4 linked regions of the Rattus norvegicus genome follow. The protein of the gene in region 2 purifies or fractionates together with the protein of the main gene of each other region. This does not show direct contact. Links are inferred from orthologs where the notes say so. Each region holds a gene or a part of one and is shown on either strand. Other genes may lie near its edges.

What was found.
Region 1: the proteins of Tardbp (region 2) and G3bp1 purify together in Homo sapiens (affinity purification with mass spectrometry; 3 studies listed by BioGRID, with this or other methods). This does not show direct contact. The link is inferred for Rattus norvegicus from reciprocal best matches to the Homo sapiens genes TARDBP and G3BP1.
Region 3: the proteins of Tardbp (region 2) and Ccnf purify together in Homo sapiens (affinity purification with western blotting; 3 studies listed by BioGRID, with this or other methods). This does not show direct contact. The link is inferred for Rattus norvegicus from reciprocal best matches to the Homo sapiens genes TARDBP and CCNF.
Region 4: the proteins of Tardbp (region 2) and Hnrnph1 purify together in Homo sapiens (affinity purification with western blotting; 3 studies listed by BioGRID and IntAct, with this or other methods). This does not show direct contact. The link is inferred for Rattus norvegicus from reciprocal best matches to the Homo sapiens genes TARDBP and HNRNPH1.

Annotation. Positions count from the first base shown.
Region 1 is NC_086028.1:40,104,220-40,108,044, reverse strand, and holds part of G3bp1 (ras GTPase-activating protein-binding protein 1), read right to left. Parts: intron 3,188-3,825; coding exon 3,014-3,187; intron 65-3,013; coding exon 1-64. UniProt on the Homo sapiens protein: Protein involved in various processes, such as stress granule formation and innate immunity. Plays an essential role in stress granule formation.
Region 2 is NC_086023.1:164,342,149-164,346,773, reverse strand, and holds the start of Tardbp (TAR DNA-binding protein 43), read left to right. Parts: upstream 1-1,569; 5' UTR 1,570-1,682; intron 1,683-1,813; exon of another isoform or gene 1,814-2,326; intron 2,327-2,844; 5' UTR 2,845-2,858; coding exon 2,859-3,096; intron 3,097-4,625. UniProt on the Homo sapiens protein: RNA-binding protein that is involved in various steps of RNA biogenesis and processing.
Region 3 is NC_086028.1:13,759,624-13,763,448, forward strand, and holds part of Ccnf (cyclin-F), read right to left. Parts: intron 2,622-3,825; coding exon 2,522-2,621; intron 2,441-2,521; coding exon 2,313-2,440; intron 963-2,312; coding exon 793-962; intron 195-792; coding exon 1-194. UniProt on the Homo sapiens protein: Substrate recognition component of a SCF (SKP1-CUL1-F-box protein) E3 ubiquitin-protein ligase complex which mediates the ubiquitination and subsequent proteasomal degradation of target proteins.
Region 4 is NC_086028.1:35,192,894-35,197,512, reverse strand, and holds the start of Hnrnph1 (heterogeneous nuclear ribonucleoprotein H), read right to left. Parts: upstream 2,881-4,619; 5' UTR 2,818-2,880; exon of another isoform or gene 2,735-2,817; intron 2,318-2,734; 5' UTR 2,278-2,317; coding exon 2,181-2,277; intron 976-2,180; coding exon 820-975; intron 624-819; coding exon 480-623; intron 1-479. UniProt on the Homo sapiens protein: This protein is a component of the heterogeneous nuclear ribonucleoprotein (hnRNP) complexes which provide the substrate for the processing events that pre-mRNAs undergo before becoming functional, translatable mRNAs in the cytoplasm.

The sequences.
Region 1 (3,825 bases), on a different chromosome or scaffold from region 2:
CGAAGACCTCATCTTGGTATCTGAAGATGTCATTGTGAACATAGAATTTGTTGGCAACAGAGCCCTGCAATGTCAGCAACAAGTTTTCAGTTATTCACACTTATAAAACACTGAACCATGAGTATTTATCTGCTTCCTGTTTCTGATGGAATTAATGTGGCCAGCCTCCTCATATCCCCCCACTGTCTGCTATGAAGGACTGTACCCTCAAAAAAAAAAAAAAAAAAAAAAAAGTGAGTCAAAGCAAACCCTTCCTTTAAAAAACAAACATGACTGTACCAGTGGTTCTCAGCTATGGGAGGGTTTGGCCCCAGCAGACATCTAGCCAAGTCTAGAAATACTTGTTTCACGGCAGGGATTGGCCTCTACTAATCAGATTGCTAAGTGCCAACCGCATTCAAGACAGCCAATGTCTTCGCCAAGACTGAATGCCCTACTGTTTGAAATCGATTGTATGCAATTATAAAGAACCTCATAGACATTGTTAAAATATCCCATCCTTACCACCAGATGGTCACCCACAGAGAGAGAGAGAGAGAGAGAGAGAGAGAGAGAGAGAGAGAGGAGAAGGGGGAGGAAGAGGAGGGAAGGAAGGAAGGAAGGAAGGAAGGAAGGAAAGAAGGAAAAGTCTTTTATAAGATACAAAAGACGGAACATTTTCAACCACTCAGAGGCACAGTAGTTTCAACTCTAGCAGGAATTTAAAATGCCCTGACTCTTAATCTAACCGTATCAATCCAAATGTGCACGGTGGTGTAACCCAGATCTCTCCTGTGATTTAGACACACAAGCCCGAATCCAATCATCTTACTGATTAGCTGTTCAAAATTTCTAAAGCTGTCCCTTCATTCACAAAAAGTGGAATATCAAAACATACCATAGTGCTTTGTGTACTGACGTATTGTGTACTGTAGTTTATACAATAATACATTTCCTTAAGGGAGATAAACGCTTCCCTTGAAAGACAGAGGGACACTGAGTCTATAATTAATAATATAGGCTGTAAAATCTCGTATATGGAGAAGTTAACAAGTAGTCATTGTCCTCCTCCTCTTCCTCCCTCCTCCTCTCCTTTTTTCTCTTCTTCCTTCCCACCTCCTCCTTCTTGTGATCAAGTCTTTCTTCTTCCTTCCTCTTCCTCCTTCAAGATAGCTCTTGGTTTACTGTGGGCTGGCCTAAAGCTTGCAAACCTCCTGACTCAGCTTCTCAAAAGGTGGAGTTACCGGGCTGGAGAGATGGCTCGGTGGTTTAGAGCACTGGCTGCTCTTGCCGGGACCGAGACCCAATTCCTGACACCCACATGGTGGCTCACTGCCATCTGTATCTCCAGTTCCAGGGAATCCACTATCCTCTTGTGGACTCTGGAGGCACTACATGCATGCAGACAAAAAACCCATACACACAAAAACAAAAATATTCATTCATTCATTTATTCATTCATTCATTTATTTTAAAGCTGGAATTTTACTCTAAATCCTGCCTACACCCTCAATGGTGGTGCTAGAATATCTGAAATTCTAGCACTTATGAGGCTGACAAAGGAGGTCACTGTGATTTCTAGGACAGTCTGAGCTACATAATGAGGTTCTATCTCAAAACAAAAACATCCTAGGGGTTGGGGATTTGGTTCAGTGGTAAAGCGCTTGCCTACTAGCAAGCGCAAGGCCCTGGGTTTGGTCCCCAGCTCCGAAGGAAAAAAAAAATCCAAAATTTTTTTTAAAGATAATGATAGTAATTTTACAATCCTAAATAGGATTTTTAAAAATTAATTCCTTATGAGCTGATTCTGTACCTATCAGCTTCCTGTCCCTTCTTTCTGAAGAAGGCACAGCAGATGTCATCCTCATCATCTCCCTGTGGTACCTTCAGAAACCTTACTACAGAGAAGCATCGCGAATGGAACAAACAGCTAATTCCCAAATGGGGCTTGAACAGGGACAGGGTCAGCACAAGGACATACACCATGCCATGCCCACACCAAAACAGAATAGCATGGAGGGTTTCCAACTGACTAGCCCCAGGACATGAGGGATATATGCTAAACAGTTACTAATGAATCATAACTCACTAAATATACTAGAATGATGGAATCCTTATAAGACAAAGCCAATGAATGAATACAGGGTGGTGGATGATAACAGACATTCCCACCTGTCACCATTCAGCCAAGAACCTCAAACAAAAAAGAATGACAGTATGCAAAACTGATAAAGAGCAGCACATTTATACAGGGTCCAAAGGTTAGTCACAATGGCAAGACCTGAGCATATAACCTAAGGGAACCAGAGACACACAAAAGGGTCATGGTCACTACGGATGAGTGGAAGAACGTGTATGTGACTGCTCTTCAGAACTGTCAATGCCAAGCAAACCAAAGGAGGAAGGGACTACAAATGACAGGGAACAAGACACAACCAGACGAACACAACAGATCGTTATATGGGCAGTTATATACAGACTCTCGGATCAAGAAAAACAAACTACGGTTGGGGATTTAGCTCAGTGGTAGAGCCCTTGCCTAGCAAGCACAAAGCCCTGGGTTCAGTCTCCAGCTCTGAAAAGAAAAAAAAAAAAAAAAGAAAGAAAAAAAGAAAGAAAGAAAAACAAACTACTGTGGAAAACAAGGCTGGCGTACCTTCTGAAACTCAGATATGGTTACTGAGTGAGTTATGTTGGGCAGTATTTTCTGAATGAGGTAACAACAGAATGATTATGAAGCAAAATTCCGAGAGAGAGAGAGAGAGAGAGAGAGAGAGAGAGAGAGAGAGAGAGAGAGAATGAATTCCTTGTCCTTAGGATGCCAGATGAAGGGATACAAAGTTTCATTTGAACTGTTTAGATGGAAGATACTTTCCAACAGTAATCTTCCTGGACCAGTAAGGACACCACAGCTCTAGGACAAGAGGACAAAGCCACACCTATAACCCTGAGCTGCCAGGAATCTAGAATTCACACAGCTGTTAGTCTTTGCATACTCCATCAGTACAGAGCCAACAGCCATCATGCGACATACCTCAGGCGCAAGGACAAAGGTCTGCATGAACCTCCGCAGAGCCTGGTTGTTGTTGGACAGCAGCCCCATCACTTGGACCACCACCCCGTCATTCAGAGTTGCGTGAGCATCCACGTGGCGGATCTTGGTGTGGCAGTTGGTGAAGTTTTGTGACATCACTTTCCTGTGGATTTCCTGAGGAACAGAGGCAAGAGTCAATCCCTGGGGAACTCACTGTGCAGAAACTAAACCAGCAGCTGCCAGCACCAAGCTGGATCCTCCAGCTCCGCCATGTTTTCTCACAGATTTGTACTCAGCCCTACCTCCTGCTCCTGCGAGCAGTCCTTGAGCAATCTCAAAGCAATCTGAAGAGCTATAAAACAAGTGCACGGGAGGGCAGAGACCTGCTATATTCACAGCAGCTCATCTCCACTCAGTTTGACAGGACCAAGAATCACCTAGGAAACAATCATCTGGGACAGCAACATTCTACAGGAAGAGCCCTGTGCTGTACATAGAAGGGGAACTGAGCACCAGCGGTCACCTTATGTTCCTGCTACCATGCCTTTCCCGCTTGGATCGTACCTCAAACTGTGAGCCTGAGTACTCCTTCTTCCTGCCTAAGTTGCTTCTGCCCGGCATTTATCTCAGCAATGAGACAAGTAAGCAACATGAGATCCAGTTAAAAATAAAAAATAAATCCCAGATGGCTTAGCAGGTGAGGGCACTTGCTCTAGGGCCTGATAATCCTGAGTGATCTCTAGGCCTAAAGGTAGAAGCAAGCTCCTGACAAGGTGTCCTCTGACCTCCGCAAGCATGCTAGACATAGATGC
Region 2 (4,625 bases):
TCAGAAGGTCAGGCCCAGCCTCTGCTCTATGAAACCCTGTCTTAGAAGACAAACAAAAAACCATTTGGGTGACTCACACCCGCAATCCCAGCACTGGAGGGGCAGATGCAGGACAGGCATTGCAAATTTGAGGCCAGCCTCATCTACACATTAAGTTCCAGGCCAGCCAAAGACTACTTAGAGATGCTGTTTTTAAAAAGTCCAAAACCAAAACATAAATAATACTGGGTGGAAGGACTTGTGCTTATAATCCCAGCACTCAGATGGTTGAGGCAGGACTGTTTGTCCAGGAATTCCTGGCCAGCCTGGACTATAACGGGAGTTCCAGGCCAGACATTAATACCTGTTCTCGCAATGCCATCTTCTTGCAAGGTACCGGTGAGGAGGAAATGAGTTCATTTATAAATTTAAAGTGGGAAGACTCAGCTTGGCACGATGATGATCTGTAATTCCCGCCCCGCCCCGGAAAGGAGGCAGAGACAGGAGAATCACTGCAAGCTCAAGGCCAGTCTGTTCTGTACAGCAAGACCCAGTTTCAGTAAACAAAGCAACTGTGTAAACCTTTGCGGCTAAGCTTTGAATCTGATACACCAGTTAGTTTCAATCCTGGCTAAAGAGTCTACAGCTGGGGCTTGGTGGTAGAGCTAGCCCTCAGAGTTACACAGGACTTACAGAGTTAAACTAGGACTCGTCTACTGGAACCGAAATAAGGAAACCTCCCAATATTTTCTGCTGTAGGATTCATCCTAGTGGGACCTCTTTCTCACGGATATTTCATGCAAGATACTTAATTCTGTGCCTCAGTTTCTTCCCTTGTTGAAAGAGGAGAGTATCAAGAATATCACACAGTCTGCCAGGGCAACATCAACACTCCGGAGCCTGACGATGGGGGAGGAGGAGCCGTGACGAGTTAAAGGGTTACACAGTGACTTTGAGGTCCTTGTCTCTAAAACAGCATTTGGTGGCTAAGCCCAAGGTCAATGGTAGAACACTCGTTTGCCATTCACAAGATTCTGGGTTTTTTCCCCCTAGAGCCGGAGCGTGCTAAAGGGTACTTGGCACAAAGTAGTACCTAGGACAGGGACCATTTTGTAGACCAAAGTTAATGCTTCTATGTCGGAAATTAACAAGCAAAGGCAGGAGACATCGAAGGCTAACCTTTAGACCTAAAACCCAGGGTACTCAGGGAGCCCCACTAGCCCTTCGGCATCCAGCCGGCCCCTGGCTCCGCCCCTTCCCTCCTAGCCCCGCCCATACGCTCCAGTCCCGGCCTACGCTAGTCTCGCGTATTTTCAGCGCGCGCGAGCTCTTCAACTGGGGCCGGCGGTTGGTCGGGCGAAGCCATCTTCCACGTGACGTAGGGGGAACGTAAAGCCTACGAGACCACACTGTTCTTCATTTTTCAGCATTTCGGATCTAGACCCTCTCACTCCTGTATTATTTTCCTCTGTTCTGCACGCCGAAGGGCCTGCTAGTATCCGAGCCGCGTCGAGGATAGAGCGTCTCTGGCGACTCTCGGAGAGCTCCCCTCCTGACAGGAAGCAATTGGGAGAGGCCGAAGGCGGGCGAGGGCGGGAGGCGGCCCTAGCGCCATTTTGTGGGCACGAAGCGGTAGCTCGGCTGTTGTTGGGTTCCTTTCCGTCTTCGATCCTTCGTTGTGCTTCCTAGCAGCGGCCCAGTGGGTGAGTTGCTCGCCGAGGACGGCTTGCGTGCTTCGGGCGCTGCTTTGGGGAGACCTGAGACGACCTGCACCGCTGGAAGGGAGCTATGGAGCGGGGCCTAGTTGGCCTCGCGCCACCGCGTCGTTAGGGCCTAGCGCGGGCGGCAGCCGGAGCGGGGCGCCGGGCCTGCTGGGCTGTGAAGCCGCGGGCGGAAGTCTGTCGCGGCCCCGGCGCCCCAGCAGTGCTAGTCCTTAAAGGTTCTCGCATTTGAGAATTAACCGTTTTCACTATGGGACTTGGACCCACGCGGCCCCACCCGGGGCCTAGTTGAAAGGGCGGGGGTGGGGGAGAAATCAACGTTGTCTGTCGCGCATGGCCTTCTGGGAAGTGGCGGCCTACCTCAAGGAGTATCAGTCGTTGCTCCCTTGACGCCCAAGTTTAGCCAGACCTTTCCGAAAATGAGGAATAGAACTGCGGGGTCTCTGTTCTGAACGTCGGTTTTCGTGCTCCACCGGCACGGTCAAGATTTAGCCAATTGAATGCATTGCTAATTTCTTACACTTAAAGCACGTGCTAAGCCCGATTTAGGCTCTCAGGCTTTAGAATTAATGAAATGAGTTCAGAATAGTCGAAAAATACTGTAGACTGTAATCTGTGCACTCCAGGTAAGAACAGTGTTTGCCAGTGGGGAAAAAATGGGGACAGATACTTAGTTCTTAACACCTTGTTTTTGTCTGGCTTTGTAACCAACAGGCCACATGGTAACACTGTTGCAACTTTAGCACCGGAAGCATATAGTAAGGCCTGAGAAAATGGGTGAACTGTGGCGGGGGTGGGGGGATGGGGGCAGCATCACACCACCACTGGCTTTCTCTGTGTAGTCCTGACCGCCCCGGAACTCTGTAAACCAGGCTGGCTTCGAACTCAAAAATATGTTCCTGCCTCTGCTTCAAAAGTGCTGAGGTTAAAGGTGTGGGTTACTATGCTCGGCAAAAATCACATTTTTTTGTTTTAGAAAACATTTTTTCCTCGATCACCTCACCCCCCCCCCCCCAGGGATGACGAAACATTTTTTGGTGGTGCTCTTTTCAGGAAATGGGAAAAAAATAAAGTGGTGTGATAGTAACTAAGTATAAAAAAGATAATTGCTCTGATATTCTTGATCATTTCTTTTTCCTTTAAGAGATTTAAGCAAAGATGTCTGAATATATTCGGGTAACAGAAGATGAGAATGATGAGCCCATTGAAATACCATCAGAAGACGATGGGACAGTGTTGCTGTCCACAGTTACAGCCCAGTTTCCAGGGGCGTGTGGCCTGCGCTACCGGAATCCAGTGTCTCAGTGTATGAGAGGTGTCCGACTGGTGGAAGGAATTCTGCATGCCCCAGATGCTGGCTGGGGCAATCTGGTCTATGTTGTCAACTATCCCAAAGGTTGGTTAATCACTTTGGTTTTGCCATATTACTGGCTATGGTTAGATATGTATGCCATCCTAAGTGAGGCTATAATACCTGGGCATCCATGTTTGCTGGAGAATCCCTGAGGGTTTGGCCTTCCTTGGAAGAATGTCCCCTAGGATCCTGCCCTTTTCACAAACTTTGCTTAGACTAGTCTGGCAGGTCAGCAGTCTAAATAAGTGAAAATTGAAAAGCAGGATTCTTTTTTGAGGAGCATCTATTTAAATGTTAAGCCATCAGAACATAGTCATTGCCAATTTTAGGTGGTTAAAACTAAATGCCTTAAAGATCTGTTTTGTAAAAGAATTTGGCTTAGCCAGTTTTCCTCGAGGCTTTTTTCTTTTTAAGACATATGTGAGCACAGTCTCTGTCTTCACACACCAGAAGAGGGCATGGGAGCCTATTACAGATGGTTTGAGCCACCATGTGGTTGCTAGGAATTAAACTCAAGACCTCTAAAAGAGCAGTCAATGTTAACAGCTGAGCTATCCCTCCAGTTCCTCTCCCCCCCCCCCCCCCCCGACCCAGGGGGACCAAACCCAGGGCCTTGTGCTTCCTAGGCAAGCGCTCTATCACTGAGCTAAATCCCCAACCCCTCTTTTTTGGTTTCTTAAAACAGGATTTCTCCATGGTTAAACTTGATAGCTAAGGTTGACCTTGAACTCAGATCTGCCAAGTGCTGGGTTTAAAGATGTCACCACTGCCTGGCTTTTTCTTGCAGCTGTCTCATCTTTGTCTCATCATTTTAAGATTTATGTTTATTAACATTGTGTTGTATGTGCACCTTGGCACTCTGTACCTGATACAGAATGACATCCGACCTTCTGAAGCTAAAGCTGTATGGTTGTGAGCTACTGTGTGGGTGCTGACATCCAAACCCTGATCCTCAGAAGAGCAACAGCACCAGTGTTCTTTTTTTTTTTTTTTTTCTTTTCTTTTTTTCCCGGAGCGGGGGACCGAACCGAACCCAGGGCCTTGCGGTTACTAGGCAAGCGCTCTACCACTGAGCTAAATCCCCAACCCCAGCATCAGTGTTCTTAATCTCTTTTTTTCCCTCCTCAAAAAATATCAGTTGCACTAGCCCAAATTTTGAGTTCCTACAGAACTAAAGATTTTCTCTGTTTCTTACTACTGATATTCTTGAAAGTATGAGAAAACTGGGTCTGGTGGTGTACATCTTTGATTCCAGCATTCAAGGGGGCAGAGAGACAAGTGGATCTCAGAAATTGAGGACAGCCAGGACTACAAAAGAGACCCTGTGTTGGGGTTGGGATATGAATGCATGTGAGTTAGTAAATGGTTATTTTTACTATGGTGGTACTGTAACAGTCCTTCCTGTACCTGTAATCCCAACATTTGGGGCTAAAACAAGGATTGTGGATTTGAGGCCAGGCTGGGGTATGGAATGAGTTCAAGACCCGACTGATTTGTATATAGCGGGGAACCAAGGCAGCCCACCAAGTTTGGCCAATATGCAAAGACTGATGTATTTCTAAGAAATTCGG
Region 3 (3,825 bases), on a different chromosome or scaffold from region 2:
CGTGACATCCTTGCCCGGATCTCCCCTGTTGCAGGGAAGGGGCCAGGGAGCTGAGGCTGGAGGTGCCTGGGTGCCTGGTGTTGGGTGGCTCTTGTCCTCTGGCCACACCTCCTCATCACTGGACTCCTGGCAGCAGTGTTCTTCTGGGTTCAGGTAGACCACAGTGACGTCAAGGAGTCCACTGGGAGCTGTAACTGTGAAAAATTTGGGGTACCTTTATAGCATTATATAGTATTAGACTAGTAATACTATTATATAGTATAGAACTAGTGACCCTATAGCTGCTCAGGACTGGGTGGCCCAGGGTTTTGCTTAGGTAAGAACCCTGTCTGTGAGCTTGACTCTCTCAAGCTGGGAATGGTCCTCTCCCCTTCCTTGATAACTCATGGGGCACCAGAAAGTGATGTCACCCAACTCACTTTATCTGAGCGGACACAAAAGCAAGCAATTGGAAATTACAAGTGAAACTTTCAGAAGTCAAGTCTTCCTGGCCAGAACATAGGGAAGCAGTTTACACACACACACACACACACACACACACACACACACACACACACACACACACACGGGAAACTAAGTGTTCTATGCACAACTCCAGACAGGGTCTGCCTAAGTGAGGCCCTTCAACTGACAAAGACCCAGACAGAGATGGATACAGGTTAGACATCCTCTCTCCCTGTTGGGTGGGGAAAACAGTGTGTCGGGTTCACACATTTCTCCTGGTTGTAGTGCCAGGTGGCCCTGGGGTCACATGTCACCTGTATGTCCCATCCCTTCCCCAGCAGCACTCACCATCCCCCTCCTTCTCTCCTTCGCTCTCCTGGTCTCCCTCATAGCCAGAGCAGCAGTCCAGGCTCCAGTCCAGAAGGCTGCCTAGCAATGTCTCCTCCTGGTTCGATAGTTCTGCGGTGGGTGTGGTAACAAAGCTTCCCCTGTCCTCCTGAAGGCTGTTCTCTCGCTTCCTGCAAGGTAGGGAGAGTCCATGAAACCCTGGTCACAGATGGCACAGAGCCGATGTGGTGCTCTCTACATGTGCCTTACCGCCTATATGCCCCTGGCTCTCATCTTGTGTTCGACAAAATACCCATGAAGCTAGAGCAGATGGGAGCCCTCAAGGGCAAGGGATCAACTGGAAGAAGAAGTGGGTGAGGCCAGGCCTCGGTCTAGGCCAGCTTTGGGCCCCGGGCCCTTCTTGTAACTGGCAGAAAGACTCCACCACCCTTCAGGGTTCTAGACGCACCAGATAGGGACAGTGTGGGTGTCTGACTGCACAGTCTGTCTTTGGGGAAGGTCATCAAACCTGTCTACCTGGGGTCACGGCTGGAGAACTACAGTGCAGTCTGCCTCTGGGAGAGCCTACCACACTCACCAGGCCTTCTGCTGCTGTCTCTGGGAGGGAATGTGGCTGTCCCATGTTACCTTGGAGGTCACTATGAAGGACCTTCTAGAGAGCAGGTCTAACACTGAAATTAGGCCCTTTAGAGGATCAGTGATGTGATACACCGCTAGTGAGTATACGTGTCTGTCCGGGATGTCCCCAAGGGTAACCCTGTCCCCAAAAGTCAAGAGGACCAAATACATAGCATGATGTAAGCTGTGGCCCCCTTGGAAGGACCCAGATCTCCCCACTCTACAGAGAGGAAGATGCTGTGCTGTTTCTCTTGTAGCAGGTATGAAAGGGGGTGAACCCCACACTGCTGCCTCCTCACATCTCCTCGAGACCCCAGTGCCTGAAGCCAAGGACCCACCCACCACAGAACACTCATGGCTCATATGCCCGGTACCACCCAGCCACTCAGTGCCCAGGTTTGCTCAGGAGCACACAGGGCACTGAGGCACACGAGGCAGGGCTAGCCCAGGGGGAGCCTGAGCGTTGCAGGACCCATAGTTCAGTGAGTGGGTGAGGTTGCTATGCTGGGAGGTGTGGTCAGAGCGCTGGTCTGTGAGAGGAAGGACAGACCATGCTATACAGGGCCAAGGGCAGAGACCAGGCGGGCAGCTATCAAAGACATTACTTAGGTCAACCCAACTACCATCTGTGCCATATCCTGGGGCAGAGAGGCCAGGTGAATAACGGCGTAGGTGGGGAGAGACCTGAGCAGGAGACAGACAGGCTCGGGGGTGGGGCGGGGCGGGAAGCATCGATGTTCAGGGACAGGCCAAGGCCAAAGCCCCTGGGTTAAACCTGGGAGCCGCTGAACAAGCTGCCTTAGGAAGTCTGTACACATGGTTACTGTGTCAAGAAGGAAACTCAGCCCTGACATCCTTGAGAGAGAGAGTGGCACAGTTGCAGACGGACAGGGCAGACTCACCGTTTGCTTCTCCTCCCAGAGGGTGAGCTGAGGAAGGTGTGGATCTCCCCGGAGCTAGGGAAAGACGGGGGCTCTGGGCTCTCCTGTTTCACCCCTAATGCACTGCACAGTTCGGCATAGCTCAGTACCTGTAGGGAGGCCAGAGTGAAGAACCACACAGCGACCCGGGCACCCCCACCAGGAGCCTAAGTGACAGAGAGAGGCCGTACCTCTTCCTGGCTGATCTCCTCATAGCACTTATCCTCAAACCGCTGCTTCACGGCCGTCAGAGAGACTTGTCTGTAGTCTTTGGGTGCATCATCATGGAAACTGGAAAGGGACAGAGACGCTGACATGTGACCCGCAGAGAGGACAGCAAGCTTTCAAAACCGACCCCACTACTAAGGACACACAGGAAGACGGGCAGCTCCTCAGTGGGTTAGCTTCCCGAGAGACAGAGACACGAACAACCAGAGAACACGCACAAGAGCGTTGATCCCACCTCGGAGCAGTCAGAGGTGGAGGTGTCTCACGTATCCGCCAATGGTCAGACGTACAAAGGTCCATTCAAACAGTGAGCTTTACTCAAGCACTGACACACGTAGAAATACGACCCTGAGATGGGACGGCAGACTCACACAGCGGGACACTGCCTGCCTGCCTCATTCGGTGATGTCCCGAATGGGCAAAGCCACAGATGTCAAGCAATGAATGGATGCTGGGGCCAAAGGAGTTGGAAGATTGCCAAGCGACAGCTAAAGAATGGAGTTTCCAGGGATGGAGAGGTGGCTCAGTGGTTAAGAGCCCTGACTGCCCTTCCAGACAGAGGTCCTGAGTTCAAATCCCAGCAACCACATGGTGGCTCACAACCATCTGTAATGGGATCCAATGCCCTCTTCTGGTGTGTCTGAAGACAGCGGCAGTGTACTCATATATAATAAATAAATAAATCTTTAAAAAAAAATGGGGGTTTCCTTTGGGGGGTGGCAAGAATGTTCTAAAATTGATTGCACAATTCTGAATACACTAGAAGAATTTAAATGATCAACTATTTTATTCCTTTGGTTTTTCGAGACAGGATTTCTCTGTGTAGCCCTGGCTATCCTCAAACTCAGAGGGATCTGCCTGCTGGGTTTAAAGGCGTGCACCACCACTGAAAACTTAAAACAACTAGAGTGGGGCGAGTATATACTTAGCTTACATAAAGGCCTGAGATCTATCCCTAGCACCAGAAAACACACACACACACACACACACACACACACACACACACACACACACACACCATACACACACACACCACATCTCTCTTCTCACATACACACTCACACACAAACATTCTCACACACACTCACACCTCACCAAAATCTTTCACACACACACACACACACACACACACACACACACACACACACGCATAAACTTCTTATGGTCAGCAGCAGGTCACAATCAGTACAAGTAAAGGTGGAAGGCCTTTACAGTCACCCTGCTTCCTTCCTCAGCCATGGTCTGGGCACCACAGGAAAAAACAGGG
Region 4 (4,619 bases), on a different chromosome or scaffold from region 2:
AATAAACTAGCTAAACCAAGTTCCTTTCATAACAATTTTCATTCAGAAAATTACACTATCTAAAATATGTCTGGTCCCATGACCAAAAATAAGTTCTTACAACAAACACCATAATAAACTAACACTCTACACTCAACACTAATCTAATGTTAAAAAGAGCTTACCTTTAACTTGCAGTACTTTGCTAAACAGCAATATGAGGAAGTAGTTAAGATGGCTGAGTAGAATCCTCAAAGGTCTACTCTGAACTACAATACTAAATATAGGCAAAGTTAACACTTTGGAAATACTTCTAATTTCCACCTTTTAAGATGGGCTTAAGTTATTTGAAGGTCTCCAGGAAGAAAATGTGAATTTTACAACATATATTCAGCAACCTACTTTCAGTACCTAGACTACTCAACTTTAAAGTCTAATACTAAATCATGTCGCCAGAAGCTGCCATACCTCACTGCTCAGCAACAAACAGGACTACATACCTGAGAAGAACTGAACAATTTCTTCCTTGCTACATCCAAAAGGGAGTCCTCTAAGCCGTACAAAGCCATCATTGGCCGTGTCAGGACTATTGGGACCAGTATGCTTCAACACCCAATCCATTTCAACGTTGTTTGACTTGAATACTGAAAGAGGTGCTTAGAATTAGTCAATTAAGTTAGAGAACAAAGTCCAGATTTCCTGGGTTTTAGATAACTAGGAAGAGCTGCCATAAACTCCCTTAGATGACCATTTCCATGCGGTCAAATACCTAAAATTCAGAAGGGGTAAGACCTCTATGTGTTTAAACATTTACTGTTACTAGGGCAATGTAAATCAAACCTTCAACATATCTGTGTCCCATAGTTTCTCTGTCTTTTTTCAAGGCCAATTTGACTTCATCTTCTGATTCAAGTTCAACAAAAGCCTCGCCACTCGGTCTGCCTTCTCTGGTGTAGATGAAACGAATACCTTGAGCCCCATTTTGAATTTTGCAGTCTGAAAAGAAAACAATGCTTAATACAGAATTTAAAACCACCTCTGGGTGATACAGATGAGATGCATATTCCTGTCATCATTAAAAAAAAAAAAAAAAAAACCCACTCCTAAAGACTAAACTGATCACTCACCATCAAATTACCTGGTATATAGGATATATTCCTAATCCATCAAGGTACCTTAATACTCAAAAACAGTTCAAATGAAGCTACTGCCTTGCCTCTAAGTATCCACTAACCATCTCTGCACAATGTCTCAGAATAACCTCATCTGGGCCTGGTGACCTCACAGCATTTTCTGGGTGGGGTACCATGTCAGCTCTCCTCTATCAGCAGCCACATAACTGCTCACTCAAATCCAAACTCCAGCTCAATACTCACCTGAAAGGGCATCAATGTAAACAACTAAAGGCTCCAAACTGCACAGCTCAAGTCAAACCCGATGGCAACTGCCCCCTGCCATTGCTTCCAGTATACTTGAGTCTTGTTTTACAGGTCGTTTTCTGTTACCACAGCTAAATTCAGACAGTAAGGTCAACACTACAGGTACCTTTTTACGAAACTTGTCAATGTTTTTGAAATACACCTCTCTTCTCTTACAACAGTGGGAATAAGATTCTGATAGAAATTATTCAGAAAGCCTACACATAGTGTAAAAATAAGTAAGATTCTACAGTGACAAAACTTTCTTGGGTTTCAGGGTTCTCAGTTGTAAAGGGATCCAGTTTTTTAATTAACTAGACCTAGAGCATGAATTCAAGGACCAAATCCTAATCAGGAAAAATGAACTTTTCCAAAGCAGAATGCCTCTTTTCAAGTGAATATATGTAAGGAAGTGCAGTAGCGCTTCAAAGGGGAAATTACTATCACTTGTCTGTACTGCTCCATTTGTTTTTCAAGACCAGGAAAGAAATCATATCTTTCCCTACTGAATTCTTTCAGAGACAATTCCAAAATGCACAGATTGGTGCTTAGAGACCGAAAAGATTCTGCAGGGCCACCAGCATCCCAATGGGAGAAGGGGAGGGGGGCGGGAGGAGGGGGCATTTCGCAATTACCATTGCGTAACAGCGGCTGGCAGAGCGCGAGCCCGGGAACCGCTGGTGCCTGCGACTCGCTAGGGGGCGCCCAGAGGTCCGCCCCGCCCCGCCCCGCCCCGCCCGGCCCAGCCGCGGGCCCCCACTGACAACTCCCGCCTCAACTCACCAGAAAAAAACCGCTGCACTTCATCCGCGGAGCAGGACCAGGGCAAGCCCCGGACCTTCACCACGAAGCCCTCTCCGCCTTCTGCTCCCAGCATCATCGTCTCTTCGCTGGTCCTGGCGTCGAAACAGACTGCAGGGCTGCGGGGTGGGAGGGGGGTGGGGTTGTTAGGAACACGTCTAAGAAACAGTCATTTAAATGGCCCTCCCACTTCAAGGCGCCCTGCGGGGTTCGACCGGGCGCCGCTACGGGAGCCCCGCCCGGTACGCTGCCTTGACCCCGGAGACTCAAGCATGCAACCCGGCCTCGGCTAGCGACCCGATCCCCAACACCACTCTGTGCGCTCAGTGCTGAGGAGGGTCTAGGCTAAGAAAACCCTGGCCTACAGCCATGGTGGAGACAAGGAAATGGCGGCCGCCGCTTCCGCTCCGCCTCCTCAGACATCTCACACAATAGAAGCGGCGCGGCCTGCAGGCCTAGGCGGCGCTGCCACGCCGGCGAGACACTCGCGGTTTCCAGGGGTAGCCTGTGCTTGCCACGGCCCCCCAGGTTTTAACCTAAGTTCAGCGACAAGCAATCGTCACCAAAATAGGCGTCCGTGGAGGGCTCTGGTAGCAAACGAAGACAGAACACCACTCACCTCCACACAAAGCCTCGGCGTGGCTGAGGAAAAATGATAGGAGAGCGCCTGCGCAGCCTAAATAAAGCCCTCCGAGCAAACTCTGCGCACGCGCACCCCGTGGCCGGCCCCGCCCCACTCGCGTCACACAAAGATTAAACGCATGCGTATTAAGAAAACCTGCGCTCTCTCCCGCTAGCCCATTATTACACGCATGCGTTTGGGCTCCGGCCCCTTCATAAACTGACCGAGGGGTTTTTTTCTTCCTGCGCCTGCGCCCTTTTGCAATTATTGCGCTTGGCGTCTCAGCGGTTTATCGTTTTACTTAAAGCGCATGCGTCTGCCTTCAAACCGTTCTCTAGACCTACCCGCCAGAGTGGGGGAGGGGAATGGCGATAATCAGCTCCCAGCAGGGACTGGGTAATAATCCAGAGTTCAGGTTTACAGGGGCGGTTGTTCTACCCTTAATCCGCAGCTTTTCTTCCGCGTTCCTGTCAGTTTTGAAAGACAGCAGGAGGAAAAGGAAGCCATGCCCTTTCTCCCTAGAACGCGTAGGAGCTGGAAGGCCGGTTTATGCCGAGCCTCCTCTCCGTACCGCCCCGCCCCTGCGCCCAAATCCCAGATCACCGTGGGGTGCCTAGGACCAGTCCCCTTACCTGCCCGCTTTAGGGGATCAGTCCCCGACCCACATGGGCTGTCAGTGCCCGAGCTAGTCCTGTATCCCACTTTGCCTAACGAACTCGCAGTCTGCGAACCCCTCGCCTTCCCAAGGCCGCGGGCCCTCGCACGAGAAGCGCTCTGTGTGCTGCGCCTCGCGAGTGAAGGCTGAGACTACCAGGTGCGCGGAGGACGCAACCCCAGAGCGCGGCGCCCGACCGATGTACCTCTCCCAGGTGGAGACACCTCCGGGTCATCTCGTGTGCACTTACAGAGATAAATGGGTAAAAAGTTAGAATTCCAGCAACACAGCAGAATACGGATGATGTTCGGAGTCTCTCCGGATTTGACTGACCCACCCCTGCCAGACCTGGTAGAAATTAACAATAGTGTTATTGTTTTGGTGGTGCCACAGTGGGTACCACAGTTGGTATGCCTCTGAATGCCATCACAAGAGGTCGCGGTCAAAATTACGTTTTTCTTTCAAGTACAATATTGAGGAGGCTAAATCCACTTTGGATAGTTTTTTTTAAGGGGGTGGTGGTCATCAAAGGAAAGGTGCAGAGACAGCATGCAGAACTTGGACCTTTTAAGTCTGCGCAAGGGTGTTAAGTAGACAGAAGCTTTCAGCAAGAGAGCAACAGGAGCTGTGTAACATGAACCTTCAGGTGTAAGGGAAACTCCGATGAAACAGGCTGGGAGAATAGTGGGGCATGACCTCACCTGCAAAGGAGCTATCTAGAGGAGACGGAAAACACTAGCTTAGCTCATCAAAAGTGAGACTCCCAAGTCTCCAGGCCAGTAGGTGGGTGAAAAGCAAGACTACAACCCCAGCCCAGGAGAACTACAACTTCAAGACCTGCCGGGGCAACAGAGTGTGTTCGAGGCGGCCAGGGAAGCTTAGTGAAAGCCTGTCTCAAGAAAGATGAGAGAAATCTTAGTGGTAGAATGCTTGCTTAGCATGTACATTACCCCCTACATGGTCTTGAGACATGAAATAGATTACCAAAAATGTACTCTTCACTAGTTAATTCACACCATTTGAGAGCTCTAGTCTTGTTAGATGACCTAAGACCAGTGGTTTATGATTACATATATGGGGGAGTGATGCATTCGAGAGAGGCTTTGGGCAAATCAATCCTACCACTTGACCACACAACACACAC